7 linked regions of the Canis lupus familiaris genome follow. The main gene of each other region encodes a partner of the protein of the gene in region 3 in a complex. Links are inferred from orthologs where the notes say so. Each region holds a gene or a part of one and is shown on either strand. Other genes may lie near its edges. The genes, in order: ING5, EPC1, MEAF6, MORF4L2, KAT6A, ING3 and VPS72.

Region 1 (4,858 bases), on a different chromosome or scaffold from region 3:
ATGAGCAAAAGTTATGGGGTGCCCGGGTGGCTCCGTTGGTTTAGCATCTGACTCTTGGTTTCAACTCAGGTTGTGATCTCAGGGTCACAGGATCTGGCCCTGCATCTTGCCTCTCTCCATGCTCAGTGGGGAGTCTGCATCCCCTCTGCCCACCCCCCCCAACTCTGTCTCTAAAGTAAATACACCTTTTTTTTAAAAAATATAAGACATGGGCAAACGTTATGGACAGCTCACCAAAGAAGATAATAGATGACAAGTACACGTGTGAGAAGATGCTCATTAGGGAACTGCAAATAGAATGATGAGCCATCTCTCCACACCTATCAGAACAGAACGGTCAAAATCAGGGACACTGGCAGCAAATGTTAGTGAGGACGTGAGCAATGGGAACTCTTATTCTTCGCTGGTGGTGATGAAAGGGGATGGGGCCACTTTGGAAGACAGTTTGGTGGTTTCCCACAAACCTAGACAGTCTTACGCTTCTTCGTATTCAACCAAAGGAATTTGCACACAAAAACCTGCACAACAGTGATTATAGTAGCTTTACTCGTAATCGCCCAAACTTGGAGACAACCAAGGTGTCCCTCCGTAGGTGAACGGGTAAACCGTGGCCCATCCAGACCATCAAGTGTTACGCAGCATTAAGAAGAGACGAGCCGTGAAGCCACAGAAGAGCGTGGAGGAGACCTAATGCCTTTTACTCCGTGGAAGCCAACCTGAAGTCTGCACACTGTGCGCCCCCAACTCCACGAGATGCAGGAAAAGGGAAAAGCGCAGAGAGAGGGGAGCGCTTGCGGGGCTGCGGGGAAGGCGGGGCGCGGCGACAGTCCCGTTGGCTGTAGGGCGATCCTGTAGGGCGATCCGGGTGGTCAGACGCTGGTGGGGCCCAGGGGGCGCACAGGGGGCCCCGACCCGATCTATGGGGCTCATGTGATAATAATGTATCCGTGTTACCGCATCAGTTATAATGAACGTGCCACAGTGCACGTGCTTGTCATGGGCCCGCGCGCGTGTCTGGGGTATTCGGATCCCCGTTTCTCGATTTCCCTGTGAACCTGGAACTGCTCTATTTCTAAAGTCTATGGAGCCAAGGAAAACAGCAGGCTTGGGCCGAGGGCGGGGCGCGCCGTGGGCACCTGTGCACCTGCCCGAGCCCCGGGACCCGGGCGGACGCCGAGTCGACGGGCCTGGGTCCGGGGTCGGGCATCGCCGGCTCCCAAGGAGACTGGGGTTTTCAGGGACCGCAATGTCGGCAAAGCGGGGTCTCCATGTGTTGGTATTTGGCGGGCTTGGGGGAGCTCACGAACGGGCTCCCCGTCTACACACGCGTCTGCACCGAGGAAGCGGCGACGGCACGGCCGGGGCGCGCCGGGCGGGGGAGGCGCCCGGGAGGCCCCGGCCCCGCGCCCCGGGCCGCCTGCACCTGCGCCGGCACCTGCACCTGCGCCCGCACGTGCGCCGCCCGCCGGCCGCCCGGGACCGCGCTCGCCGCCGGAGCAGCTGCCGGGGGAGCGGGGCGGGGCGGGGCGGGGCTCCGGGGCCCGCGGGCAGGGCCGGAGGCCGCGCGGCGAGGGGCCGAGGGCGCCCCGCCGACCCGCAGGCCCCGCGCCCCGCGCCCGCGCGACATCGCGCGCAGCCCGGCGGCCGGAAGTCCGGGGGCGGGTCCCGACGGCGGCCCGCCCCGCCAGAGGGCCAATCAGCGCCCGAGCTTCATTAATAGTGAGCGCGCCGGCCCCGCCTCCGCCCCTCGCGGCGCCGCCCGCCCGCGCAGACCCGGAGCGCGGCCGCGGACGAAGATGGCGACCGCCATGTACTTGGAGCACTACCTGGACAGTAAGCGCCCCTCGCGGCCCTCGGGCCCGGCGCCCGCGCCCCGAGCCCCCCCGCCAGCCGCGCCCCGCGGGCACCAGGCGCCGCGCGCGGACCCCGAGGGCGCGCGGGGGGGCAGGGGCGGGCCGGCGGCGGCGAGGGCGGCGGGGGCGCGCGCGGGCGGGGCGGGGCCGCGAGGAGGTGCGCGCGGGGGGCGCGGCGCGGGGTCCCACCGTCACGGCCGCGCCAATTCCAGGTGCGTCACGGAGGGGCGGGGCCGGCGGGCGCGGGGCGGGGCTCGCGTGACCAGGCCCCGCCCCCGCCCCGGCCCAGGCCCCGCCCCCGGCCGCAGCGGCCGCCCCGCCCTCTCCGCCCTCCGCCGTCCCGGCCCCGCCCGGCTCCCGGCCCCGCCCCGCCCTTCCCGGCCTCCTCCGCTGGCCCGGCCCCGCCCCCGCGGCGCGGTCCGGGGCAGGTGGTCGAGCCCCGCCCCCCTCGGACGCGGGGCCGGGCCTGGGGGCTCGGGGTCGGGGTCGGGGTCGGGGACTCCGGCCCGGGGACTTGGGGGCGACCGTGGTGCGCGGAAGCCCCCGGGGTGCGCCTGTGCCGCGCGGCGTGGGGAGGGCGCTTGCGGGGCTGGGCCGGGTGTCACCGGGCGGGGAGGCTCAGCGCGGGCGGACCTGGGGGTCCCTGCGGGCGTCCTGCGCCCGCCGCAGTCGTGCAGCTCGGCCTGGAGCCGCCGGACAGCTCCTGCGCGGATGGGTTCCTCCCTGGCCTCGCGAGGGCGGTGCAGGCCGCAGCGGCCAAGGAGCCCGTCGGGTCACGCCCCTGGTCCCTGCCGGCCCGGCCCTGGCTGGGGTCGGCCCCGGGGTGGGGCGGGCCGGGTGCGCTGCAGCGCTGTACTGCTCGGGGAGGACGTGGAGTACAGACAGGGCCGTCGGTCATCGGTACCGGCCGCTCGGGACCCGCTCCTGCAGCCGCGGACAGGACAGGGAGGGAGCCCCTGCCCCCAGGGTGGTCGCCCAGCCCAACCCGAGCCCGGAGGGGACGCGCCCGTGTCACCGCGACAGAAGCGCTGCGCTGAGCTGTCTGCGGGGAGCACTGGGGCTTGCCCGGCCCTGTCGGTACCTGCCCCCCAGGTGATTCCATCCTGCACGGGGCACCTGTGCCGAGGCTCAGACTGGAGGTGCGGCTTGATCTTTGAGCGCCTGCTGTGTGCCGTGAAAGTAGCCTCGAGCCTCATTTTCCTGGAACTTAACTTTCAAAGGAGGCAAACTGATTTTTTTAATCACAGCAGATTAAGCTCCATGAAGGAGCCCAGCAGGTTGTGAGAGAGCCGAGGTGGCACTGTCCCACAGAGCCCAGGGTAGGACAGAACAGGGAGGTCTGCGCCCAGCCTGGAGGCGCCTCGTGGAGGGACTTTGTGCCGTTCTCCCGGTGAGCTGGGCACCTTTAAGCGGTAGCCTTGGAAAACTAGATTTTGCTCTATAATGATTGATGGCAACTGGGGACAGTAGAGGGGGTTGGCCCCGCGCACAGGAGCCCAGGTCGCGCCCATCAAGGCTACGCAGGCGGGCTGGGAGGTTGGCCTGGAGCAGGAGAAGGGCAGTGCAGTGGGCAAAACAGGGCAGGGAGAGGTCCTCCAGGGTGCGGTCCAGCCTGGTCTGTTTCACTGGAAATTAATTAACCTTGAGCAAATGAGAAGTTCAGTGCCTGGAGCAGAGCAGCCCCACTGCAGTGCCCAGCTGCTGCGTGGCCACCGCCCACTGTGTTGCGTAGCTTAGAGAGACCATGTCCGACCAGGCATGGAGTCTGCCACACGGCACTGCCTGTGCCACCCCATGCAGCGGGTGTCAGGCTCAAGCGGGGCAAAGACCCAACAGACCCCAGGATTTTGCTGGGGTATCGAGAGGGGAGGACTGGCTGGGAGTGTGGGGTGGAAGAGTCACATGGGTCACCTTCCCTGCTTCTGCTTGCAGCTCTCGGGTAAGTCCTCTCACGTTTCCAGCTCTGACAGCCCCTCAAGCCTGTCGGTCTCACCAGTATCGTACTCATCATCCACAAAATATACGTTAATCCTTCTGTTCCCTGAATCCTAGCAGAAACAGAAAATGAAGTCAGATTATTATTTGTTGACTTTATATGTAAAGTCTGCAAGGCGGCTTTTGTCCCGCTACTGACAAGTACACGTCTCTTTGTTTCAGGCATTGAGAACCTTCCGTGTGAACTTCAGAGGAACTTCCAGCTTATGCGAGAGCTGGACCAGAGGACAGAAGGTAGGTGCAGGCCTTGTAGCGCAGCCCCTGGTAGGCTCTGACAGCTGGGGAGAGTTGGCACCAGGATATTGGGGGTGGCCCTGGTCTTCCAGGGCAGTGGGGCTGGAGCCTGGCCTTCGGCATTGGGCATTGTGTAGCGTCTAATGGGGAGTGCTGACACTTTAAAATTAGACTTCATTTCTTAGGTTTTAGCACATCTCCCTGTAGCATCTTTACGACCATCATCCGTTCCTCATTACTTTCTCTTCCTTTTATTTTTATTTATTTATTTACTTTTAAAGAGTTATTTATTTGTTTATGATAGACATAGAGAGAGGCAGAGACACAGGAGGAGGGAGAAGCAGGCTCCATGCAAGGAGCCTGATGCGGGACTCGATCCCGGGACTCCAGGATCGCGCCCTGGGCCAAAGGCAGGCGCTAAACTGCTGAGCCACCTAGGGATCCCCCTTTCCCTTCCTTTTAAAAGGTTTTCTGGTTTGGAACTACATACAGATAGTTTAAACAGAGAGCACTTTGCGACCTCCTGGTATTTAGCTCTCGGTTTCTAAACATCCTATTTTTTTTTTTAATTTTTATTTATTTTTTTATTTATTTATGATAGTCACAGAGAGAGAGAGAGAGAGAGAGAGGGGGCAGAGACACAGGCAGAGGGAGAAGCAGGCTCCATGCACCGGGAGCCCGATGTGGGATTCGATCCCGGGTCTCCAGGATCACACCCTGGGCCAAAGGCAGGCGCCAAACCGCTGCGCCACCCAGGGATCCCTAAACATCCTATT
Region 2 (4,217 bases), on a different chromosome or scaffold from region 3:
AGTCTCCCCAAAAGGAGCCCAGTGTGGGACTCGATCCCACATAGATCCCGGGATCATGTCCTGAGCCAAAGGCAGACACTCAACTGCTAAGCCACTCAGGCATCCCAGGATGTAGTTTTTAATGAATGCTTTATACGTATGTTTCTTTCATTTTCAAGTCTTAATTGCAGTTTTTAATTACTTTAGAATTGTCTGGACACTGAAATTATTTATTTTATTTAGTGCTTTCCCCCCAGTCATTACATTGATATCAATAGTAGCCAAAATTCCATGTCATTTATATTTTATACTATACTAACATTAGTCGCTGTTAGTATTTTAAGATGGAATTACTTATAAAGTTTATATAAATAACATAAAAATATATCTTCTACAGTAGTAGATCTCAAATATTTTGTCGATAAGAAATTTTAATGCTATAAAATATCCCAAAGATAGCATACCATTTACTGCTTTCTCCTACCTCCTCCACCCCTGCCCCCCCCCCCCAAAAAAAAGAAGGAAGTTTTTGCTTAATAGAGAACTGATCTTTTATAAAGTGTTTTGGTGCTTTGTAACGGAAAGAAAAATCTCTGATTGAAAAGCAGTTTGGAAAGAAAAATAAGTCCAGGTTTTATATCAGTAACATACTGGTAGATCAGCTCATGGAACTGTTAGAAAGCTCTTGCTGATGTAAAATGAATTCCTCAAGGTGGATTGCTTTCTTCTTTAATCAGATCATTATAAAGTAAAAACTTTTATCAGAAATTGAGAATTTAAAAACAAATTGAGAATTTAGCTTAGAGGGTCAAATACTGAAATAATCAAATTTCTAGCTTTTAAATGTTTAGTATGAGATGGCTTTGGGGGAACTGGGAGGATCTTTTTTTATATAATTTTTGAATAGCTGTTTTACATATATGTTCCCTGCCTTATTTTTAACAGGGTCTTACTGGACAGAGCTCACTCAGACTATGACAGTATGTTTCGTCATCTGGATTTGGAAATGCTTTCCTCTCCACAACATTCTCCAGTCAATCAGTTTGCCAATACCTCAGAAACAAATACCTCGGACAAATCTTTCTCTAAAGACCTCAGTCAGATACTAGTCAATATCAAATCATGTAGATGGCGGCATTTTAGGCCTCGGACACCAACCCTACATGACAGTGACAATGATGAACTCTCCTGTAGAAAATTGTATAGGAGTATAAATCGAACAGGAACAGCACAACCTGGGACCCAGACATGCAGTACCTCCACGCAAAGTAAAAGTAGCAGTGGTTCAGCACATTTTGGTATGTTTATTTGTTATGATGTACATTTCTATAGAAATGTCAGGTTCATCCATATTTTGAATATGTGGTTTATTTAAAGCTAAAAGTCCTTTCTCTCAAATAATGAGGAAAACGGACCTAGGTTAAGTATTTATTTGAATTGTTTGTACATGTGTTTTCATTTAAACACACCCACACACAAAGGTGATTTACTGCTACTTAATGTATGACATTTATTTCCTGGATATGCTCTGTGAACCCACAATTTACAATTCAGCAATTATCAAAGAATATGAAAAGAAAATGGGCCATTAATTGTAACCATTTTATGCTTGGACACTTCTCTTGTGTTTTATTTAAACTGTTCAAAAGTAGTCTGGCAAGTCTGTAGATATGCACAAGTCTTATCTACTGACAGTAATGCAGAATAATTTATAAGAGGGAACAATATTTAAATTAAAGGATTTTTAAAATTTTATAGGACTGTTAAAATGTTGGAGGCAATTCCAGATAACATCTACTTTAGCATTATGGCTACATTGTGAAATGTGTCTAAAATACATCCTGTCTTTAAATATTCCTAAAATTTTAGCTTTCTGTTTTTTTTGTTTGTTTGTTGTATTTTTTTTATAAATTTATTTTTTTATTGGTATTCAATTTGTCAACATATAGAATAACACCCAGTGCTCATCCCGTCAAGTGCCCCCCTCAGTGCCCGTCATCCATTCACCCCCACCTCCCCTTCCACCACCCCTAGTTTGTTTCCCAGAGTTAGGAGTCTTTCATGTTCTGTCTCCCTTTCTGATATTTCCCACTTATTTTTTCTCCTTTCCCCTTTATTCCCTTTCACTATTTTTTATATTCCCCAGCTTTCTGTTTTAAAGCATAAATCTGTGTTATTTGAGGCATGTAGATTATAGAAATTCACTGTTAGAATTATGTTACCATAGATTTTTGTAAAGATCATTTAAACACAGATTTTGAAGGGACTATAAAGGTATTTATGTTGCCCTAATTACCTGGTAAGGCTACAGTTAAACCTTTCTAATAAATACGAAAATGTACTGCTTATTCTTAAAGATCTCTAGAAAAGGTCCCATAAACTAATTTATTTTGTGTCTGGAAAACAAGTACTTGTATGAAATGGAAGTCTTTACTCATAAGAAAAATAATCACATTTCCAAAATCAACTAGAAGATAATATAAATTATTCTGAAGTCTAATGGATTAGTATGGTCCCATTAATTTCAGAGTCCATTTCTCTCAGCTATTATAGTCTTAAAAATCAAAATAAAGAACTTTTCAATATGGAGGAGGACTATATAGTATGCAAGTATAGAGCTTTTAAAGGTGTAAACTTGTAACGTGTTTTCCCTGATAGATATTTAAGCTGTATAAATTCCTTGAGACTTCTTATAGAAAACTGGCATGCTCCATCAATCCCCACCTTCTCACCCTTTAAAGTAGAGAAGTTGAGGGGTGCCAGGCTGGCTTAATCAGTGAAAGCAATGAGACTCTTGATCTCATGAGTTGTGAATTCAAGCCCCACAGTGGGTGTAGAGATTACTTAAACAAATAAAATCTTAAAAAAAAAAAAAAGATAATAATAATAGAGAAGTCGAATTGTATAACTACCCTAGTATCTTTTAATGATCATTTTAAATGTAAATTATTTTGCTATACTGCATAAGTAAGCATTGATTTTATGAAACTTACTTGATTTGTGTTTTCCAAAGAACGTTAAAAAGTGAACATTGAACCAGTAGTGTTACCAAAAGTTTAGCTGAAAAACAATTTTTAATGACTGTATAATTTTCTTTTGAATCATTTCCTCCCCCATATAATGTGATACAACTTTTTAAAAATGAATTTATTTTTTTGTTGCACATAATTGTTTCAATTTTCCCTTAATTTTTACTAGATTTTTTTGTATGCTTAGAGAATAGATGCCTACAGATTGCTGTTGGGTCATGCTTTATTCTTTCCTATTTAGTAGAGTCCTATCATGTGTATGTTACACTCAAGCAAATTCAACTATAGGCCCCTGAAGAAAAAATAAAATTTTAACAGTTCAAAAGTTATACAGGATTCTAAATACAATTCAACCAAAAGAACCTATTCTCCAGAGTGGACCACTCTGGGAATGGCAGAAGTGAATCTGTTGTTACTCGGAATATCCATGCCTCCTTTGCCGCTTCATTCAGAGGTTAATCTTCTCACCTTTGTCTGTGTAATTGTAATTTTAAAGATAAATTTTTTCATATAGATGGCCCCCAAATATAAGCCCAACTATTTCATCTGGTACTCAACCACAGAACCATAAGCCAGAGGAAAAACTGTCTGTGCTGGGCTTATTGAAAGAGACACATCCATTGTGGTAGACTTTAAAGGAATTTTCAAGGCTTAATTTTTACTATACTGACTTTAGAACTTAACCACTATATATGAGATAGAAGTCAGTTGATATATACTTTCTTGTTTGCTGCTTAAGCCAAGTATTTTGATTTAGCAGTTTTTTATTAATCTGTCATTATTTTAAATATTAATATTTATATGTATGCTGTGGCCTAGTGATGCCCTCTGGACTGATTTTCCTTTTTCTAAAAAGTCACCTATAAAGATCCTATTTCAAACAGGAAATTCTAAATGAGGATATCAGGAGCCCATTATTTTTAATAAAGGGCATGAGCTTTAACACACCAACTTTTGTAGTTCCTGGTGCTCAGAATTTTTTTGCTTGCTTCCCAGTCTTGGCCATTTCGCATAGTAGTGTGGCCAGATTAGTAACCTGGTTGGTCAGGTGCTCTAGTGCATGATCCTCTGGATAACACACAAAAGAGTGACACAATGTTGGGAAGACTTAAATATATGTGTATTTAGAATTTCTAGGACTAGATTTTAGTACTATGAATAAATTGTGTATATTTAATAATCTTTGGTTTATATGTGATTTGGAAAGTT
Region 3 (3,885 bases):
TATTCTGGAGCTTTCAGCTTTGTAAAAGGCATGACTTTTGCCTCTGGTGTTGCTTTCCAGGGTGGAGCTGCAAATGCCATTAAGAATTCCCCTTGTAGGGGATCCCTGGCTGGCTCAGTCGGTAGAGCATGCGACCCGATGTCAGAGTCCTGAGTTCAAGCTCCACGCTGGGCATAGAGCTCATATTAAAAAAAAACAACAGTAAACAAAAATTCCCATTTTTGCCTTAGCGCTCTCCATATAATTCTCTTTAGAGTCTCGTTTTGGGACCCTGTTGATGATGCTTGTCTCCAGGCGCTTCTGTGAGGCCAGTGCTGCAGGCCCTGGGGGCCCAGCCGCCTCCTGCTGCATAGACGGTCGTACCAGGAGGCGCCAGCAGGTGGCAGGCAAAGCCCCACAAGCGCCACGGCCTCCCGGGGCTCAGATTTGGGGGGGGTGTTGGGGTCATCTTATCCTTTTCCTCCACCTGGTTTTGCGGCCGTTTCGTGAGCGGGTGGCCAGTTTAAGACGGCCAGCAGCTGCCGTGAGATGGGCTTCGAAAGGCCGCATCCCAGCCTGACAGCCTGGGGCCTCCTCCCCATCCAGGAACTAGCTGGAAGGATTTACATACCGTGGCCTGGGATGGCTTGAGTTTCCTTAATTGCAGGGCTCTGCTTCCTGCCTCTTTGAGCCAGATCTCCCACACCCTTCCCATGAACCGGGAGGTCCCCAGAACCGGCTCTTACTCACCGCCCTCGACTCCACCCACCGAGCTACGGTCCTGGGGAAGAAACTGAGCCAGAGGTTTGAGAAGCCCTGGAGCAAAAGTGCTAGGATCCCGGGACTGCCTTATTTGGGGGGCAGGAGCCTCTGGGGACCAGCTGGGCTGAGGGCTTGAGGTGCTGGCTCCATGCCCCCCGCCCCCCAGGTCCTAGATGTTTCCTCCCCAGTTTCTCTGCTGGAGACCCCTCCAGCCCCTCCTTCCGGGCAGGGGTCCTGCCCTTCTGTGTTCGGGAAGAGATGGGGTGGGGAGGGGGGAAGGAAGCGGTCAGGGTGGCCTCTCCCCAGTCACTGCCCCGCACCAGCACCGGGGCTGGGGGTTGGGGGGGCTGGGAGAGCGACTCCCCTGGAGCCCCAGCGCCCTCCTGCTCCTGGTTGAAGTCCCCCAGATGGACCTTGAGGGCCCTCTGGGCTTCCCTCAGGCAGGGAGGTGGGGTGGGGACACCCAAGGGAGGGTTCCAAGTTTCATCCACTGGGGCCCAGTTGCTTCTCTGCCCAGGGAGGCCAAGGTTTCTGTAGTGACCCTGGCCCCTGGGGAGGTTAGCCCGCCTCTGGGTCAGGCCGTGCTGACCAGAGCCTGGGGGTGGGGGGGGGCTGGCGCTCCGGGAGCTCCCCAGGATCATTTCCCAGCAATGCAGGGATTTGCATACTCCCTGGTTTCCCCATCGGCCGCTCAGCCCTGGAGGCAGGAAGGCGGAGGAGGAAAGGGCAGCGGGGCAGCCCTGTGGGCTGGGTCCCCTCGGCACCGGAGCTTGGGGGTCTCTGCGGCCCTCCGGGCCCCAGGAGCCCGCATGAGACGTGCCGCCGCAGCCTGGGGCTCAGTCGGGGAGCCCGGGCCTGGAGGGGAGGGGGCTGCGCAGGCCGCATGGCCAGGCCTTGCCACCCCTCCACCCCGGCGGGCCCCAGCGAGCTGAGGGGTCTCCTGGTCGGCCTGGAGCTGCGCAGGGCCCCCCTGTGGCCCCCCTGTGGGCAGTGGGAGCACCCAGGCCCTGGGAGGGAAGGGGCTGCGGCGGGCGGGAGGCGGGATGGGGAGGCCCGGGCCTGGGGGCCAGGTGGCCCGTGGCTGCAGGTCCTGGGTGCGGTGGCGGCGCCGAGGGGCCCCTGCCTCCTGCCCGGACGCTCCTCACCCCACACCCCACATGCTGCGGCCCTCGGGGCTGGCCCCCGGCTGGTGGGGTGGCAGGGAGCACACGCTGCTTCCAGGCCGCTCCTGAGGCCTCGTGGCCTTCCCGTTCCACGCAGTGCGCCGGCGGGCCTGGCGGGTGCTGCTGGGGCGGCCCCTGCTGAGCAGGTGGCTGGGATGGCCCTGCCCCCCTCCCGGGGCAGTAGGGCTTCTGTGGGGGTGCCTCCCTCCCTCCCTCCCCCAGGGCCTGCGAGCCCTTGCAAAGCAAACCAGCAGCGTCTGGAGGCCTTGCTTCCTCAGCTGTGTGGAGCCAGAGACCCCCACCCCAGGGCCTCCTCCAGCCTGCCCTGTCCCTGGGACCTCCGGCCAGGCGCTCGGCCTTGCCTTGCCGGTGGCCTTCCCTGGCCGTGCCAGTGGCTGATAACGAACTGGACAGTCTGGTCTTTTAGCTTCCCGTCCCAAAAAAACAAAGATCCATAAATAGCCTTTTAATCTGGAATACAGTACCTGATTGGAAAAAAAAAAAATCTTACAAGGCAATGACATTTCTTCGTGCAGCTAAAACCTTCCGAAGTGGCTGGAAGCAATGGGCATGGGGTGCCCCGAAGAGCACGAGTGGGGGCTGCAAGAGAACCTTTGCTCAGAGCGGTCCCACCTTGCCCCTGGGTTCCCACTTCAAATGCAGGCTTCTACAGAACGGGGGCCTGGGTGGGGGCCTGGGTGGTGCAGTCGGCTGAGCGTCTGACTCTAGATTTCTGCTCTGGTCACGATCCCCAGGTCCTGGGATCAAGCCCCAGGTCAGGCTCCCTGCTCAGTGGGGATCTGCTTCTCCTTCTGCCCCTCTGCACCCCCCACACAACTTGCTCTTTCCCTCTCTCTAAATTAAAAAAAAAAAAAAAGAAAGAAAGAAAAGATGTTCAGGGTGAAGAACGCAGTGGGCGGGGGTGGGGGGCCAGCGCGCAGGGAGATGGCCAGTCTGGCGTTTTCTTCACCAGGCTGTGCAGCTGTTCTGTGGCAAAGCAGTTTCAAGAAAGAAAAGAAAAGAAAAGAAGAGAAAAGAGAAGAGAAAAGAGAAGAGAAGAAGAGAAGAGAAAAAATACAGATACTGTAAAAGCTTCACAATAAGTACAGATTAGGTGCGGTGTCCAAATATAGAATGATTAAAACTGTATTTTTTCAAAAAAAACTATTTTTTCCATTTTCTCCTGCTGATAGTGTTTGTTTTGGGATCATTTGATAATCCAGCTTTTCACTTAAAATATTTAACCTTTAGATCTTATTTATCTGGAAAAAAAAAATGTATATCTCTGCCTGGCTTCCTTCCTCCTAGGGGCCACTAAGAGGGTCAGGATGGTGAGGTGAGCACAGCCCGCAGCACTTACTATGTGCCAGGCACTGGGTCATGTGCTCAACACGCATGCTCCCCGCTTCACAGATGAGGAAACTGAGGCCCACCCAGAGAGGGGTAGTCACTTGCCCCGGTGACATAGCTGGTGGCAGGCCAGTTCCTGAGTTGGGGATCAGGACCCCCAACCTCCGAGGTGACGCTGGCATCACCTGCCTGGGAGGAAGGGGCTGGAGCCAAGCACCCAGCCCCCCCACACCCCCACCCCCCCTGTCTCCTCAGCTGTCCTGGAAGCGCTCTTCTCAGCCAGGTGGTTTTCTGTCCTCGGCTCTGGTCGCTGGAGAGAAAGGGGAACAGACCAATCCTGCCCCCAACCCCTGCCACCCCCTCCCCACACCATGGCCTCAGGACTTCAAGCCCTTACCTGCTTCAACTCCGGGACCTCCCCCACCAACCCCCCCACCCCCACCTGTGGGTCCCCCCCCTCCACTCCAGGCCCTGCCCCCAAGGGGCCGAGCACTTTGGGTGGGTGCACATCTGCGGACCCCCCCATTGCCCAAAGGCCCCGGCCACGCCCCAAGCACAACGCAGGGCTCACATTGAACTTTATTGACATGTTAAGAGAGGCAAGGACTTACACTTAGGATAGTGCACGTTA
Region 4 (4,107 bases), on a different chromosome or scaffold from region 3:
CTTCATTGCAGATACCTGTTTTCCTTTCTAGGTTGTGTCTTCCACCTCATCCTTCCAGACCATCCCAGGAGATTTGGGAGGTTCCATCTGGGAAAACACTAGGAGTACTTGGAAGGGAAAGAAGGAAGAGGATTATGTAAGTCAAAAAAATTGCTTCCTGTGTCACACTATAAGAATCATAGCCCCCTATTTTTCATCTTTATCTTACTAGTTCCCTCTGCTGCATTTTATACTGTACATTATCCCTTTCCTTTCTTAAAACTCTTTTGACTTATTTGGCTTCCAAAATAACATTCTCCTAATTCTTCTATGGCTGCTCTGACCATTTTTGTGTTGTTTTTGGTCTCTGCTAATCCCTTAAATACCATTCTTTTAGGTTTTTCCAGAATTTCATACTTTGGTTCAGTTTTTCTTCCTCTTCTGTCCATGAATGACTTTGATGGCTTTCCTAGCTTCCAGTAGTAGCTGTGTGATGATTACCCTCAGATCTCCATTTCAGGCTCTGACCTTCACCTGAGCTTTAAAGTTAAATATCTAACTTTACATCTCACACGTAGTAGATCCAGTACTGAAGTTCTTTCCTCTCTAATCCACTTCCTCCTCCTCTAGATGCAGTCTTATTTGGTGATAGTACTAATGACCTAATCACCCATTCTCAAAACCTGGAGTCATCACTGACTTCTCTCTGATTTATCACCTTCTCCAACAAGCTAATACTGACAGTGGTGTCATGTACCATTTCTTGTTTGCTCCAAAATACTCTGTGCCTATAACCGTCATTGTACTAACCTCGTTTTTTTTTTTTTTTTTAAGATTTTATTTATTTATTCATGATAGTCACACAGAGAGAGAGAGAGAGGCAGAGACACAGGCAGAGGGAGAAGCAGGCTCCATGCAGGGAGCCCGATGTGGGATTCGATCCCGGGTCTCCAGGATCGCGCCCTGGGCCAAGGGCAGGCGCCAAACCGCTGCGCCACCCAGGGATCCCTAACCTCGTTTTTTTAATTGTCACCTTAGATTTAAACCCTAGGACCTAGCATAGTATCTGTCCCAAAGCAGATAGGCAATAATGTATGATAACTAATTGAATAGATGCATTTGTACAAAGCCACCTTTGACTGCTCCCTCTTCTTCATTTACCAATTTCTGTATTCAGTTTCCCTTGACTCTGTCATCACCCTAGTTCAGGATTACTTGGACTCCTACAAAAACATTTACTGCTACTCATTTTGCCTCCAGTCAACTAATCTTTCTTTGTTCTTTTATCTTGTCATTTATCCTGTTCAGACAGTTTTAATTTCAATTCCACTGCCTTTTGTAGTTTCTTTTCCATTTAATTTATTTTTTTTCTAAAATTATATTTCTGTCTTTGGAGTGGCACCAAAAAACTAACTTATGGGCAAGTCTGATGAGCGATTGGATGGGGTGAGTAGTGGTTGGTAGTGAAAATCAAAAAGAGGGTGGAAGTAGTAAGTCAGTCACTTACAAATGATCCTGAACTAGGATTTGAAATCTAAATTCCAAGAAAATAGCTTGTGTTTTACTGTGGTAGGCCTTTATGAAGTAATATGTGTTAAAGGTCACGATAGAAAACAACGAAGTAAAATATTTTATATATTACAGTGGTTGGAATAAAAACAGGGTTGAATGAGTTCCAGAAAGCAGGGTTCTCAAACTCGTGGACAACAATCTGCAGAAGAAGACAACTTCAAAAAACCAACTAGAAGTAATATGCAGAGAAGTAAGATGAGAGGGGCCTCCTCAGGAAAGAAGACTGCTGGTCCACAGCAGAAGAATCTGGAACCAGCTCTCCCAGGCAGATGGGGGGGTCGCTCTGCAGAGAACCCCCCTTCAGGATCAGTGAGGAAGACCAGAAAGAACAAACAGAAGACACCTGGAAACGGTGATGGTGGCAGTACCAGTGAAGCACCCCAGCCACCTCGGAAGAAAAGGGCCCGGGCAGACCCCACTGTTGAAAGTGAGGAGGCATTTAAGAATAGAATGGAAGTTAAAGTGAAGATTCCTGAAGAATTAAAACCATGGCTTGTTGAGGACTGGGACTTAGTTACCAGGCAGAAGCAGCTGTTTCAACTCCCTGCTAAGAAAAATGTAGATGCTATTCTGGAAGAGTATGCAAATTGTAAGAAGTCGCAGGGAAATGTTGATAATAAGGAGTATGCAGTTAATGAAGTTGTGGCAGGAATAAAAGAATATTTCAATGTGATGTTGGGCACTCAGCTGCTCTACAAATTTGAGAGGCCCCAGTATGCTGAAATTCTCTTGGCTCACCCTGATGCACCAATGTCCCAGGTTTATGGAGCCCCACACCTACTGAGATTATTTGTAAGAATTGGAGCAATGTTGGCGTATACGCCCCTTGATGAGAAGAGCCTTGCATTATTGTTGGGCTATTTGCATGATTTCCTAAAATATCTGGCAAAGAATGCTACATCTCTGTTTACTGCCAGTGATTACAAAGTGGCTTCGGCTGAGTACCACCGCAAAGCCCTGTGAGGGTCTACTGACCACTCACTGTTATGTCTGGTATCTGTAAACACTCTTTTCGTTCTTAGTCTTTTTCTTGTATAATTGATGTTCTTTAAAATTGTTAATGTATAACAGGGCTTATGTTTCAGTTTGTTTTCTGTTGTGTTTTTAAACAGAAAATGAAAGGAGTACAAGCTCCTTTTCTCATTTCAAAGTTGCTACCAGTGTACGCAGTAATTAGACGAAGAAGAAACATTCAGTAGAACATTTTATTGCCTAGTTGACAACATTGCTTGAATGCTGGTGGTTCTATCCCTTTGACACTACACAATTTTCTAATATGTGTTAATGCTATGTGACAAAATGCCCTGATTCCTAGTGCCAAAGGTTCAACTTAATGTATATACCTGAAAACCCATGCATTTGTGCTCTTTTTTTTATGGTGCTTGAAGTAAAACAGCCCATCCTCTGCAAGTCCATCTATGTTGTTCCTTAGGCATTCTATCTTTGCTCAAATTGTTGAAGGATGGTGATTTGTTTCATGGTTTTTGTATTTGAGTCTAATGCACGTTCTAACATGATAGAGGCAATGCATTATTGTGTAGCCACGGTTTTCTGGAGAAGTTGATATTTTAGGAATTGTATTTCAGATCTTAAATAAAATTTGTTTCTAAATTTCAAAGCAAGTATTTTGCAGCATGCCTTTAATATTATTGAGGCTGACTAGTCCGCGGGCTCGGGAAAGATCTAGGTGGTATCAGAGAGTTCTGACTCCCAGTAAAAGAATTCCTTTTTCTGTTGGGTGTGGCAGCCAGGAGTATGCTGTCATTGCCAGTTCCCCTCCTCTTCCCTCATTGTGGCTTCTCAGAGTGACTGCTTTCTAGTGCTGCTTATAAGAACTCCTTGCCCCTGTGAATTGGGCTGGCATAACAGAATATTTAGTGGATACTATAATAGTTCCTTACACTTACGCAGAGCTTTGCTCTTGACCACAAAAGAAAATATGGGCAGCCACCTTCAGAAATACTTAACAGATTTTGGACCAAGGATGGCCGCTTTCCCTAGTTCCAACATTGAGTTCATGTTCTGTTTTTATAATCCCTTAGACATAATAGTGGGAATCTAGAGTAGGGGATTTGTGGAGGAGGGTTGATGGATGTCTATGATTATAAATCCATTCTATAAGGAAATTTACCAAACCAAGTTTTGTTTCATGACAGTGTTTTTTTACTTCTATAGTAAAAACATAAATTATCATGGTTACTGGAGAGATTTTAGAAAATACAGTAAGAACAAATCTGGAAATGAGTCCTGTATGATCCTCCTAGATCAGTCAGGGTCCCAGCAGGAAATAAATTTTATTCAAATCGATGATTTGAGAAGTTTAATAGAGAATTTTTTCCCAAGTTGTCAACAGAGGAGTAAAGTCATGGTGTGTATTAGTTTGCTAGGGCTGCCACATCAAAGTATCATAAACTAGGTGGCTTAAACAACAGAAATTTATTTTCTCATAGTTACAGAGTCTAGAAGTCCAAAATCAAGATGCTGGCAGGGTTGGTTTCTTCTGAGGCCTCTCCTTGGCTTGTAGATGGCTGCCTTCCTGTGACTTCACATGGTCCT
Region 5 (4,217 bases), on a different chromosome or scaffold from region 3:
TTTGCGCCAGTCCTGTTTAAAAGCAAAAAGTGCTGTTTTTAAAAGAGTCATCATTTCTTTGTCTAGCTATTCATACTTTGTCGAAGTACAGTATTTTATATGTTTAGTAGTCTTAAAACAGCAGGTGTTCTAATTCTACTGTTGAAAGGATAGCTTCCAGGTTCTGATTACTGACAGCTTCTCTGAGGCTGGACAATGTTACTCACAGGTATTTGTAAGTGATGTGTACTCTTGAACTAAAGAGCCACTTTTCCTGACCATTTTGTTCTATTATTTTCCTCTAGGTTGATGGGAATGTCAGTACCATTTATTGTCAGAACCTGTGTCTCTTGGCAAAGTTGTTTCTTGACCACAAAACGCTCTATTATGACGTGGAGCCATTTCTTTTTTATGTACTAACACAGAATGATGTCAAGGGCTGCCACCTTGTTGGCTACTTTTCTAAAGTAAGTATATTCAGTTTAAAATTTGTTTGAATTCACATGGAAATCTAAAACAATCTTTGTCACTTCCCCTGAGGAGAAACTACACTATCAGCACCTTCTAAGTACTATCTGGCTTTTTGGAAAGGAAAATAGAAGGAACATTCAGAATCATATCAAGTGCTAGAAGGTGCCTAATAACATTCAACAGACTCTACTCTCCTAGGAACATGAGCTGCCATTTATACTCTAGAGGAAAAGGTTTTAAATCACTTCTATTCCCAGGGTAATAATAGCCAGAACTTGTGAAATAAACAGTCATTACCTCTGTGAGCTGTTTCTCAGTTTAAATCTTCTCTTCCTAGTTTAAATTTGAAGAATTTAAATAAGAATAAGAAGCCATTTTAATTCAAGGATATTTTTCTCTCCTAATAATCTTCCATTCTCTTGGGGAGAACAAAAGGTGTTTTTTTGTAGTCAAACCACATAAAAGATGTACTTATACTTAAGTTAGCCTATGATAAAATCTAAGTGTATGAAACAGGTAAGTGGAAAGTACCAGCTTTCTGTTAGTTGGCTATTTCAGAAGTTAAATGTAATTTTATAGATACTGCCTGATTTTTAAAGGAACTGTACCCAACATTTTCAGATTATTTTTTGTGAAGTTAGGTACAACCAGTGGAGAGATGGGACTGCCCTGTGTATCACCAGAGCAGGAAATAAGAGAATCTTTGAAATGGTTGATGAATTTTCCCATTTCTGGAGTACCACACTGACTCATCATTTGTAGCTTTGCAGATTGATTGGGACTCAGATTCCTCTGTTCATCTTAGGCAATGACATACTGTTTTGGAGTTGCAGATGGTGTTAGATGGCATAATTTTATTTTATATTTTTATTCTCCTGGGATGGTTGCTTTGTGGGTAATGGCAATGACTTAACATTGTCCTAGCTCCTCCCAGTGGGGTATTTTTTTCTTGATGAGCTTGCTATTCTCAAAGGACCAGGGCTGTGGTTTTGACTGTTAGTCTTTGTTTCTTGATAATTAGCATTACTATTCAGTCTTATCCACATGTTGTTTTACAATTTTCTTTACCAGGAAAAGCACTGCCAACAGAAGTACAACGTTTCCTGTATAATGATTCTTCCCCAATACCAGCGTAAGGGCTATGGCAGGTTTCTCATCGATTTCAGTAAGGATTATATAATACAGTTTTTCATTATCTCTTCTTGTGGACCTTCTGTGATATCTGTATTTTTAGAGATTTACAGATGATTTATTGGTTGCTAGTATCTTTTGTCATACTGCAGTGTGGGACTTTAAAACCTAAAGTCATGAATTTTTTTTTTTCTTTTGATTGGACATGAAATATTTTAAAATAGCTTATACTGAATACTCACTTTTGTGTGACCTATTGCAAATACTTTTAATTATAAACTCTGAATTTACAGTGGAACTTAGTTTTATGATAATTCTGACAGTAATACTCAATACATTATATAACTACTTAAGTTAGTACAGTAGAGAAATACAGCGCTCGCCTTATTTTTTGTTACCCAATTACCTGAGAAAATGCGTACATCATTTTTTAGTTACGGGCTCTACCTAGTGGTTAAAATATGCAGTGCACCTTTAAAAAAACCCTAAAAGTAAATGGTGTAGGAAATAATTCAATCTGACTTAAAAATTAAAAGCTAACAGCTCTAAAAAAGTCAATGTAGATTTTGAATCTTGTTTTACATGTTGATAGTCTTGCTTAGAAAGTAAATATATGTTTACAATAAATTTTATATTGATTATAGAATAGCAAGTTTTGAGGAATATTTTTATATAGGCAGTCCTAAATATCAGATGATTATATCACCAGTGTTAAGGAGTTAATTCTCAGATGGACCAGTGCAGCTTATTCTAGTTGGCCTTAGACTGTACTCCTGAATATTTTATTGGAAATATGTGCCATTGATGATGATTTTGTACATTTTCTTGGCCTTTTTAGATTGGTAGTAGAGAGTGCAACTCAGATTGTTTCCTTTAATATCAATATATTGTTCTGAAATAGGACTCATGTTTGGATGTTATGCCATTAAATAGGAAAGTTAAGGGAAAATATTTTATTATACTAATTAGTTATACTTTTGAGATACACAAACAACAGTCTATGATTACAGTTTTTTTTTTCATTTGCTTTTCGTAACGTAATCTATTTTCCCATGTTACACTATTTACAGACTGCTTTTAGTAAAGCGTCCTTTGATAACAAAAAAACTGCATTTCTTCTGCCATCTCCATTGTCAGTGCTTTCTCTTAGTATTTATGCCTTTCTCTTCCTGTTCTTGAGAGTCCTGCTCTAAACAGGAGGACAAATCCCACCATACACTCACGGGGACATCCTCACGCTGACATCCTTGCTTACTAAGAATTAAGGTGAGGTAATTGTTAGGAGAGCTTTGGCTGAAGTGAGAAATGGTCATCTGATTCACTCGCAGAAGAACCACAATCTTAACAGATAGGATTACATAAAAATGAAGGCATTCTTTTGTATTGTTCAACAATTCAGGTGTAGCTGTTGCCATCTGGTGGTCCAAATAAAACATGCAAGGGAGGTTCCCCCCATAAAATAAAAAGGATTATTGCCTTAATCTTGTTAATGCAGCCTGTTAATATGAAGTCCTATGATTTTTTAACAATTTGAATGTTTTAACGTGATTTATAGTAAGTATAGATAGAGTAATAATAACCTAATGTTCAGTATGTACAAATTACGTCATCTTGTGGAAATATGTGTTGGAGTAATTTTTCAATTTTGTTCTTTTTCTTGAAGGAATATATCTTTGACATTATTATTGCCTATTTTGCTTAGATTGATTGTGAAGAGGGGATTGCTATTTTGGTGAATTAGCCTATTTTAGGCTCTCTGACATATTTGTGATTCGGGGGTTTCTTTAGGTTATTTGTTATCAAAGCGTGAAGGCCAAGCAGGGTCTCCAGAGAAACCATTATCCGATCTAGGTCGTCTTTCCTACATGGCTTATTGGAAAAGTGTAATATTGGAGTGCCTTTATCACCAAAATGACAAGCAAATCAGCATTAAGAAGTTAAGCAAGTTGACTGGAATCTGCCCTCAAGACATTACTTCCACACTCCACCACCTAAGAATGCTGGACTTCCGTAGTGACCAGTGAGTATCATACCCCTTGGCACACTCTCAAAAGATAATTATGTGGAAGTGTTTGGATCAGGCAGCCATATTATCAATAAAAAGGCATAAACTAATATAAGTGGTACATTTAGTGATCCTGAGAGACCATTTTTATTTCTGTGATATTTGATACTATTGACCATATTTTCTTTTTAACTGTTTTTTTCTAGTCTTCCTTCTAACTTTTGGACCTATGCTATTGAATCTTTTATTTTCTAATGTTGGGAGCTCCTTCACAATACAGGAAGTAAATAAAAACTCTAGAAATAACGTCTAATAGAATATACCCATGATTTTTTTCCATGTAAGTGATACAAAATAAAATATAGGACAGGGGAAGTTTAATTCCCCCTTATCTAGAGAGTATGGGAAAAGATCACAGAGAAAGGAAGGAGGCATTGGACTAGAAAGCTGGACAATAGAGATAGAGTACGAGAGAGTAGCAGAAATTCCAGAGATTGGAAGTGTGAGACAGTGAATGGTTCAAATGACTTCATCCATTGCTCTTGTTGACTGTGAAGTATCTGTCCAATTCCGTATTTCTTAGCTATCTCGTATAGTGACATATTTCTATATTTTATCCTCCCAAGCAGGC
Region 6 (4,217 bases), on a different chromosome or scaffold from region 3:
GTACTGCAGGAAGGTTAATGAAGCATCCTCTGTAAGGACACAGACACACTAAATGAAATCAAGTTATAAAATCTGCTCCACCCTGTGCCCTGCCATAATTTCATCTCAAGGGATCAAGATAAACCCAGAAAATTTCATTAAAAGTCTTTTAATGCTTGGCGGTAGAGATTCTGTGCCTAACTTCTTTTAGGAAGTCTTTACTATCATATGTCCTTTTAACAATCAAAGAATTTTATCTCATATGGTAATGTCCCATCACCTAATACTTTAGGATCTCCCGTAGAAAGGTCTTCAGCCCAGTATAACTAGTTTGAGTTTTTAGATCTTATCGGAAATGGAGTTATAGTATCCATTCATCCACTTATGCGGTACCTGCTGTCCTGAATTCCCCAATTAGACATTAGCATGCCTTGAGCTTTTTTGTACGTAAGGTGAATATTAAGAAGTGGATTACATACTGTTTAGAGAGAGGATGAAATTGCCTCAGGATAAAGTTGGCAGTGGTGGTTCTCTGACTAAAATGATACAGGTATGTGCATCAGGGCTCCCAGTCCTCTGGTAGGTGAGGGTACAGAGTGCCTGTAGTTGATGGGACCTTTAAAGTTCTATGTTGACATGTATCTCTGTGCCTTTCATTCTTAGGATCTTTGGAACTAGATACTCCTTCACAGCCAGTGAACAATCACCATGCTCATTCACATACTCCAGTGGAAAGTAAGTTTGGTTTTGGGCAGCTACAATTTTCAGTATAATTAAAAATTCATTATATTACCTGTATATTCTTTTTTAATTGGCTCCATACAACCAATTGAGAAAAAAATATCTCTCCCTTATTTTATTTTATTTTATTTTATTTTATTTTATTTTATTTTATTTTATTTTATTTTATTTTATTTATTTTTTTATTATTTTTATTTTTATTTTTATTTTTTATTTTTATTTTTATTTTTATTTTTCCTTACAGTTCCTGATAGACTTATTGCTGTCATTTGAGAAAAGCATATTTGATTTGGGAGTAGAGAGTTTGCTTTTCCTGGGATACATTGAGGATAAATATATGGTATTAATAGCAGCATATACTTCCTACATTACAGACACCTGATTCTCTCTAGAGAGTGTTATAATTCAAGTCAAACGATAAGCTACGTGATGGTAGGCTCTTTGGTTTTTTGCCATCCTTGCTTCTTCAGTGCCTAGTGTGCTGCTTGGCATATAAGAAGGCCCCAATGTTGGTGAGTTAGTGAGTAAATGAATGGTTGGTTGGATCTTAGCTAGTTAGAAGACTGTATCAGCGCATCTTGTGACAGATCAATCTGATATGAAAGAATGGTTGAGAGAACTATTCAAAATTGTAGATAGTGTTTTGAAAACAAAATTCCTATCATGCTATATGTGAAACCATGGTGCCTTGTGAGTTATTCGCAGTACTTTGCTGCTGAAGTTATTTTTAATGTGTGAGAAGGCTACTCTTAAAAAACCAGGTGCCACAGAGAGTTCTGCTTCTCCTGTCTTCCAAGAAAACATATTGTTCTGTATTCCATAAAGAACTCAGGACATAACTGTACCTGCTTGTAACTGAATGGAAGTATTATGTTTTGTCCACAGTTCTCTAAAATTTTAAAACACAAAATTTCTTTATTTATATTCAGAAAGGAAATATAATCCGACTTCTCACCATACAACGACAGATCATATTCCTGAAAAGAAGTTTAAATCTGAAGCTCTTCTATCTACGCTTACATCAGATGCCTCTAAGGAAAATACGCTAGGTAAGTTTATTATCTTAAACATGAATTTTTGATGTTTGTATATGTTAAAATAAGGAGAAATGAAAGCATTCAGGATTAACAAATCATACTGATTTTTTACTTGGTTTAAAGTCCACATTTGGGGAAAGAAGAAAAAGGAAAAATGGCGCATGAAAATTTTATAGTGACATGAAAATGTTAAATTTAATGATTATATCTGTACTGGGAAATAATGTATTTTAAGCTCCCTAACATTATATTCTCTCCAACCATTTTTATTTCTTCTTTAATTCTACATAGGGTGTCGAAATAATAATTCTACAACTTCTTCCAACAATGCTTACAATGTGAATTCCTCCCAACCTCTGGCATCCTATAATATTGGCTCATTATCTTCAGGAACTGGTGCAGGGGCAATTACCATGGCTGCAGCTCAAGCAGTTCAAGCCACAGCTCAGGTAAAAAGGAAGAGGTTTGGAAATAGCAGGTACATTTTGTCTGAATCATTGGCAAACTTTAATAGAAACAACGAGGTGTGAACAGAGTTTTCTTACATTATTGTATAGTTTCATTTTTAAACCGTGGTTTTATGATGCCTGATGTTTTATTTAATGAAATGGATGTGCATCAATTTACCTGATAATGAAAAGTAAAAAAAATGGATTCGTGCAATGTCATGCAGATCCCTTCATACAGTGATTGCTCATGATGTGCATGTTTTTGACAAGAAGCCATAGCACCTGCTAGGACAGTACTCCATTCTGTGTCGCAGCCCTGAACTGACTGCATTACACTTGTTCGCTTCTGTATAGTTTATATTCCAAATTAAGTCACCAATTCTCTAGTTCCCTCCTAACTGTGTAAAAACTGATTTTAAATCTTTACATAAAATAGTTCAAATGACAGTGATGAAAATAATGGTTCAAGCAAAAGAATATTGGATAAACTGACATAATACTGCAACTAGTAGGACTGAAAAAGAAAATCTGCATATATATGTGTATTAATATTATCAATGAACGTCTGTTTAAGATGAAAGAGGGACGAAGAACATCAAGTCTAAAAGCCAGTTATGAAGCATTTAAGAATAATGACTTTCAGCTGGGAAAAGAATTTTCAATGCCCAGAGAAACAGCTGGCTATTCATCATCTTCGGCACTCATGACTACATTAACACAGAACGCCAGCTCGTCAGCAGCCGACTCCCGGAGCGGGAGAAAGAGCAAGTAGGTTTCCCTGTTACAGTGGCCCTGTGCCCTTACTAAGTATGCAGTCGGCTTGGCATCCAGCTGGGCTTGGCCATGTGCGACAAAGGTAGGATGTAATGGATCAGGATCACGTGGGGGAGGCAGGAAGACACACTGTCATACTTGCGGGAGGAGGAAAGTCTCTAAAAGGTGTTAAAAGTCTTTAATCTTTCTAGAGTCTTAAATTAGGTATAAATGACTCCTGTTTACTTTCTTCTGTTCATTAGGATAAGCCATTTTATGGAAACTTTTTCCTTTATGGCCCCTTATTTTGTCACGTGTCCCAATGTAAATTAATGCATAAGATACAAATTTTATCCTGGGAATTTTTTTTAAACAAAATTCTTCATTTTTATTAAAAGGAAATTGTATTAATTCTTGGTCTTATGCCCCCCAAATTGAAAGTATGAAAATATCCCTATATTTTTGTATATAAGACTCTTAGGATGGTTGTCTGTCTTAAACACAAAACCTTAACAGGGTTTAGTACCATCTATCCCCAGTATCTGCATTTGCTAGATATTCAGACATAATGAAAGTTCAAATGGTAAACCAGAAGAAGAGCTGTTATCTAATAATTGCATCATAATGTATTTTTAAATGTACTATATTTCCTGTGAGTAAATCCCAGGAATGATCAATGTAGAATTACCACAAAAGTGCTAGGTACCTCAAAAAGTAATTCATCTTAATGACCCAAATTTATTACAAATGCTGATAATAAATTTTCCTATTTTAAAATTTAATTAGCATGTAAATATTGCTAAATTCCTTGCGAATTTGCACACTCTTTCCTGTCTTAACACAGGTAAGTATTCACATCTCAGTTGATGATCATGATCATTTTCATCAACTGCTTTTGTGTATTTGTGTTTTAGATTTTGATGAAGAGCATTCAATTTGCTTAAAAATACAAAGAATGTCTGGAAGATAGCCGTAGCGAACACTAATTCTTACAAGTATTACCTGTAATTTAAGTCAGCATTAAGTCGTAACAGATTTAAAAAATTATTACAAAAACATAGTTTGAAAGAAATTTTTATGATATCTTTATTCTCTAGAAAACAAAAATAAACTGTTATGAAAAATGTTGCTCTTTGTTGCTCTCAATAACTGTGCTTTTAAACCTGTGTATCAGGTTAGTTTAACTTCATGTTTAACGTTAATTTACGTTTAATGTCATTTCATTTCATACCACTCATTTAGGAATTATTCTCCCATA
Region 7 (4,702 bases), on a different chromosome or scaffold from region 3:
GAAAAGGTTGCCTTCAGTCAACAGAGAAAGAAACTCACGTATCAGGCTAATAAACTCGTGACTTTTAATTTGCAGGCCAATGATTCTCAATTCTCTCCCTCTCCTTACTTGTCCCATTATTGATAATCTTTGTTGAGGTAAACTTACTGAGACATAGGTCTCATTCCTCAGGTGTGTTGCAACAGAAAAATAACTGAGTTCTTGTAATATGTATAATGGAGAGCCAATGAAGATTTAGGGAGGAAGGAAAACTATATACCAGGGCTGTTTCAGAAAGCTCTGGAAGTTGTTAGCTGAGTGGAGTAGAGAACGTGGAGTACACCCTAGAATTGAGGGGTTACAGGTTAGGACTAGAATGGCAGCCACATAGGAAAGTAAAGGGAAAAACACACTTAAGGGCGAGGGAGTCAAAAACTGGGCAGGGTGGCACCTCAAACATGTGGCTCTCTCTTCAGTCAGGGATGTAGACCAACAGGCTAATCCTGGTACACATGCTGCCAAAGCAAGCAAACAGCACAGACAGCTGACATGCCAAGCTAGCCAGAGTTCAAACTTGCACCGATGGCCATCATTTCCTCCCAACTGATGCTTGTGAAAGACTGCCTGGGAACACATTAATCCCCTCAGCTCTAACCAGGTATTAAGTCATCGCACCAGAGAGTAGTCATTGAACTGCACATTAGCTTAGTGTCCGTCCAATCAAGATGCTTTCACTAAGTTAGGGATTTACTACCATACCTTTGGCTTTTATCAAGGGTCATTAATAGGCATGACTAGGTAAGTGAATGTTTCTACATCATCTAGTGAACCCATTACTTTATAATTTTATGTAGAAGTGCACTTCTTCCTAGGACTTAATGCTGAATAAATTTTTCTCTCTTAAAGAATGTATATGCCTCTTTCTTACTGAAAAAAGAAATTCAGGGCTTGGCTGCCAGGAAGCTCACAGCTAAATTTATTATTTATTTATTTATTAAAATATTTTATTTATTTATTCATGAGAGACAGAGAGAGAGAGAGAGAGAGAGAGAGAGAGAGAGAGGCAGAGACACAGGCAGAGGGAGAAACAGGCTCCATACAAGGATCCTGATGTGGGACTCGATCCCGGGACTTTGGGATCACGCCCTGAGCCAAAGGCAGATGCTTAACCACTGAACCACCCAGGCGCCCCGCTAAATTTAATATAAATTGCTATTACTATTTTAGCAGAGGTTCCTGGTACAATTACTTCTGATCTGTCTCTATTTTTACAGTTCCTACTTTTTGTTTATATTGTAAGCCTCCTTTAATCCTTTTTGGAAGCATGAAGGGTACATATTAAATAACGACTCGTAAAATGACAGGAATAGGAAAATGGCCTTTGGGGGAGGGATGAGAACATTCTATTTTAAACTATAGTTGGTCTACTGTGTAAGTAATGACTCCCAATCAAGTCCTGTGGATTCAAGTCCTATGGATTCAATGTCCTTAATTTGTCTTGAAACTATTGCCCATGTTTCTCTACTCCCACTGCCTCCTTCAAACCATTCTCCTCATTACAGAGTGAGCTTTCTAAAATACAAATCTGATCATGGTACTTTGATGAATCTTCTCAGTCGTCTAGAAAAAGAGCAAAACCCCTCAACATGGTTCATAAGGCCCAACATGATTTGGCCTATGTCCACTCCCTCCAACCTTATCAATTTTATTCTCCTTCAAGGTTTGGAGAAAGGAGAGTAGGCCTGCATGTACCACACAGACTCAGTACCTTTACACATTCTGCATCCCCCCCACCCCTCCACACACACACCGTTTCTCCTTATCCTGCTCCCAGCCCTACTGCTGTTCACTGAGTCAAGGCCTACTTTTCATACTGTAGTAAGCTTAAACATCATGTCCTCCAGGGAGGCCAATCCTAACCAATAACTCTGGCTCCCGTATATTACCACAGCACCCTAGCTTACCATTTTTTTCCCCTCCTTATCACAAAGTATTTCAGCTGTTAATCCAGCTGGTTCCCCCCACTGGGGTCTGGAATACGAGTAACAAAGTGGTGTTTTCAATACTTTACGCTTCCCTAGAACTTACCACAGTGGTTGGCTTGCCCTAGCTCTTCAACAGATATTTTTTTAAATTTTTTATTTATTTATGATAGTCACAGAGAGAGAGGGGCAGAGACACAGGCAGAGGGAGAAGCAGGCTCCATGCACCGGGAGCCCGATGTGGGATTCGATCCCGGGTCTCCAGGATCGCGCCCTGGGCCAAAGGCAGGCGCCAAACCGCTGCGCCACCCAGGGATCCCTTCAACAGATATTTTAAGAATGGACAGATTCAATCAGCACCAGTGCCGGTCCAATCCAGAGAATGGACCAGGCACTGGACGTATACTGCTGGACAAAACAGACCATCTCTAACCTGACAGAGCTTACAATCTAATAGAAAAGTATAAACAAGTAGGCAAACCAAATCTAATTGCAATTCGAAATATATTATATGAAGGAAATAAATGGACCACTTTTTAGAGCAGTTAGGGAAGGATTAACTAAGGAGACATTGACGTTGAGATTTGAAAGGTGAAAAAAGTAGGCTGAGCTCCTGTATTTTGTGAAGAGATCCTTTTCTACCTTCAGGTGGATAACCAAGCAGTAGGCCAGAGTCCATACTGCGTGACTACGAGGAGCTCGAGTACGTTAGACGTCAGAAGTGAAACACGCAACCCGAGAAGTATACGCTTGGTTTCTTCCATGGTCTGGGGTGCCTCGGAGAGCCCCTCATCCCTGAGCCCTCCAACCCCATCCAGGACTCTCCCACCCGCTCTCGAATATCACTCCCAGGGCTGATTCTATCCATTCCCCGCCCCCTTCTTTGTCCGACGTTTCTCCGTTCAGGACTCCTAGTAGCTTCCTCCCCTCCCTCTTCCTGGGCCCGACTCTTGCCTCTGTGAAACCCCCGTAAGTCGTCTGGTAGAACTCATCTTCCTCCTCGGCTTCCAGGAGCCCAGAAAGCCGGTTCCCCGCGGTCTTCCGGGGGGCCCGGCCACCGGCCAAACTCATACTGCCTACCGAGACTGCGCCGCCACCAGCGGCCCCTCACCCAGCGCGGTATCGGCGCTCGACACAACTACCTGCGGCGGCGGGCGGCGGCGGAAGCCCTTCGTCCACAGGCAGAAGTAGGAGAGCGTCGAGACGCTTCTAGGCCCGTCTGTCAAGCCTTCTTCTTCTTCTTTTGTTTTTTAAGATTTTATTTATTTATTCATAGAGACCGAGAGAGAGAGAGGCAGAGACACAGGCAGAGGAGAAGCAGGCATCATACAGAGAGAGCCCGATGTGGGACTCGATTCAGGGTCTCCAGGATCACGCCCTGGGCTGCAGGCGGCGCTAAACCGCTTCTTTACCCTGCAGCCCCGCCCACGGGGGGGGGGGGGGAGCGGCGTGGAGACGACCCCCAAGCTCCCTCCCCTAGCTCGCGCTGATCTGGACTGCAGAATGATTACCGGGTGACGCCAGCAGCCCCACTACCCTAAGTCCAGAATTTGAGAGTCAACAAATGTTCACTTAGAAGAGGTCAGTCTCCCTCTGCTCCAGTCCGTTTTCCACTCTGCTTTTAGTGATGAACCTTTCTTAAAAAACAGACTTTGTCAGTCTTCTGCTCAAAGATCTTTAATGGGGATCCCTGGGTGGCGCAGCAGGTTAGCGCCTGCCTTTGGCCCAGGGTGCGATCTTGGAGACCTGGGATCGAATCCCACATCGGGCTCCCGTTGCATGGAGCCTGCTTCTCCCTCTGCCTGTGTCTCTGCCTCTCTCTCTCTCTCTCTATCATTAATAAATAAAAATTAAAAAAAAAGATGTTTAATGGCTCCCTGGCATCTACAGGTTAAAGTACAGGATTCTTGGGGACAGAACAGTAGTGTGGTTAATATTAGATTTATAACCAACCAGACCTGAGTTTTGAGTTTAGGGTCTTCTAGCTGTGTGACTTTGGACAGTTGGTGGAATCTCAGTTTTCTCACCTGTAGAGTGGGACGAGGGGTGCCCGGCTGCTCAGTGGGTATAGCATGTGACTCTTGATACCAGGGTCGTGAGTTCCTTGGACATGGAGTCTACTTAAAAAAAAAAAAAAAAAGAGGTGGGAGTAATAACATCTACCTTTTACAGTTGTTGAAAAGATTAAAAGATTAGGAGATCTAATCCTTTTAAACTTCTTCAGCAGGATTTAGTAAGCACATAGATGGTTAGTAGGTGATAATTACTATTAACATTGACATTAAAGATCCTGCATAATTTGGCCTCTCCCTGCCTTTCTAGTTTCACCTCTTGCCTCATCATCCCATTCTAGCATCACTTCCCAATCCTCTGTCGTGCCTGTGTGCTTTTCCTTCTCCTTAGGATTCTTTTCCTATCTTATATACCTGGCAGAATCCTGGTTATATTGGACAGTGATGTCTTCCCACTCGCCCACCTCGCTTCCTAGCAGTTTCCATAATCATGGAGATCATGCCTCCTCAATTCTCCAGAATAGTTCCAATCTCAAATAGTCTGTGGAATTGTTAAGACCCTGTGTCGACTTCTTTTCCATCTTTTATCCTGAAAATATGATTGTCAAACCATAGCACTCGTACCTACGCTATGGTGGCAGCTATTACATTTTATTCTAATGATTGATGTATCTACCTCATTAGCCTGAGATCTTTTTGAGGGCAGGGACTTCATCTTCATCTTTATCT

The links.
Region 1: MEAF6 (region 3) and ING5 share a complex: the UniProt entries of both Homo sapiens proteins name them as parts of the HBO1 complex. The link is inferred for Canis lupus familiaris from reciprocal best matches to the Homo sapiens genes MEAF6 and ING5.
Region 2: MEAF6 (region 3) and EPC1 share a complex: the UniProt entries of both Homo sapiens proteins name them as parts of the nuA4 histone acetyltransferase complex. The link is inferred for Canis lupus familiaris from reciprocal best matches to the Homo sapiens genes MEAF6 and EPC1.
Region 4: MEAF6 (region 3) and MORF4L2 share a complex: the UniProt entries of both Homo sapiens proteins name them as parts of the nuA4 histone acetyltransferase complex. The link is inferred for Canis lupus familiaris from reciprocal best matches to the Homo sapiens genes MEAF6 and MORF4L2.
Region 5: MEAF6 (region 3) and KAT6A share a complex: the UniProt entries of both Homo sapiens proteins name them as parts of the MOZ/MORF complex. The link is inferred for Canis lupus familiaris from reciprocal best matches to the Homo sapiens genes MEAF6 and KAT6A.
Region 6: MEAF6 (region 3) and ING3 share a complex: the UniProt entries of both Homo sapiens proteins name them as parts of the nuA4 histone acetyltransferase complex. The link is inferred for Canis lupus familiaris from reciprocal best matches to the Homo sapiens genes MEAF6 and ING3.
Region 7: MEAF6 (region 3) and VPS72 share a complex: the UniProt entries of both Homo sapiens proteins name them as parts of the nuA4 histone acetyltransferase complex. The link is inferred for Canis lupus familiaris from reciprocal best matches to the Homo sapiens genes MEAF6 and VPS72.

Annotation. Positions count from the first base shown.
Region 1 is NC_049246.1:51,598,343-51,603,200, forward strand, and holds the start of ING5 (inhibitor of growth protein 5), read left to right. Parts: upstream 1-1,717; 5' UTR 1,718-1,796; coding exon 1,797-1,833; intron 1,834-2,839; exon of another isoform or gene 2,840-3,243; intron 3,244-4,010; coding exon 4,011-4,082; intron 4,083-4,858. UniProt on the Homo sapiens protein: Component of the HBO1 complex, which specifically mediates acetylation of histone H3 at 'Lys-14' (H3K14ac) and, to a lower extent, acetylation of histone H4. Component of the MOZ/MORF complex which has a histone H3 acetyltransferase activity.
Region 2 is NC_049223.1:12,487,293-12,491,509, forward strand, and holds part of EPC1 (enhancer of polycomb homolog 1), read left to right. Parts: intron 1-924; coding exon 925-1,277; intron 1,278-4,217. UniProt on the Homo sapiens protein: Component of the NuA4 histone acetyltransferase (HAT) complex, a multiprotein complex involved in transcriptional activation of select genes principally by acetylation of nucleosomal histones H4 and H2A.
Region 3 is NC_049236.1:5,044,022-5,047,906, forward strand, and holds the end of MEAF6 (chromatin modification-related protein MEAF6), read left to right. Parts: intron 1-2,877; coding exon 2,878-3,007; 3' UTR 3,008-3,042; downstream 3,043-3,885.
Region 4 is NC_049260.1:77,633,944-77,638,050, reverse strand, and holds the end of MORF4L2 (mortality factor 4-like protein 2), read left to right. Parts: intron 1-31; 5' UTR 32-136; intron 137-1,623; 5' UTR 1,624-1,647; coding exon 1,648-2,514; 3' UTR 2,515-3,166; downstream 3,167-4,107. UniProt on the Homo sapiens protein: Component of the NuA4 histone acetyltransferase complex which is involved in transcriptional activation of select genes principally by acetylation of nucleosomal histone H4 and H2A.
Region 5 is NC_049237.1:24,432,131-24,436,347, forward strand, and holds part of KAT6A (histone acetyltransferase KAT6A), read left to right. Parts: intron 1-284; coding exon 285-446; intron 447-1,521; coding exon 1,522-1,615; intron 1,616-3,369; coding exon 3,370-3,601; intron 3,602-4,217. UniProt on the Homo sapiens protein: Histone acetyltransferase that acetylates lysine residues in histone H3 and histone H4 (in vitro). Component of the MOZ/MORF complex which has a histone H3 acetyltransferase activity. May act as a transcriptional coactivator for RUNX1 and RUNX2.
Region 6 is NC_049235.1:59,215,727-59,219,943, forward strand, and holds part of ING3 (inhibitor of growth protein 3), read left to right. Parts: intron 1-642; coding exon 643-714; intron 715-1,649; coding exon 1,650-1,769; intron 1,770-2,048; coding exon 2,049-2,206; intron 2,207-2,780; coding exon 2,781-2,974; intron 2,975-4,217. UniProt on the Homo sapiens protein: Component of the NuA4 histone acetyltransferase (HAT) complex which is involved in transcriptional activation of select genes principally by acetylation of nucleosomal histones H4 and H2A.
Region 7 is NC_049238.1:60,907,141-60,911,842, forward strand, and holds the start of VPS72 (vacuolar protein sorting-associated protein 72 homolog), read right to left. Parts: upstream 3,106-4,702; 5' UTR 3,033-3,105; coding exon 2,916-3,032; intron 1-2,915. UniProt on the Homo sapiens protein: Deposition-and-exchange histone chaperone specific for H2AZ1, specifically chaperones H2AZ1 and deposits it into nucleosomes.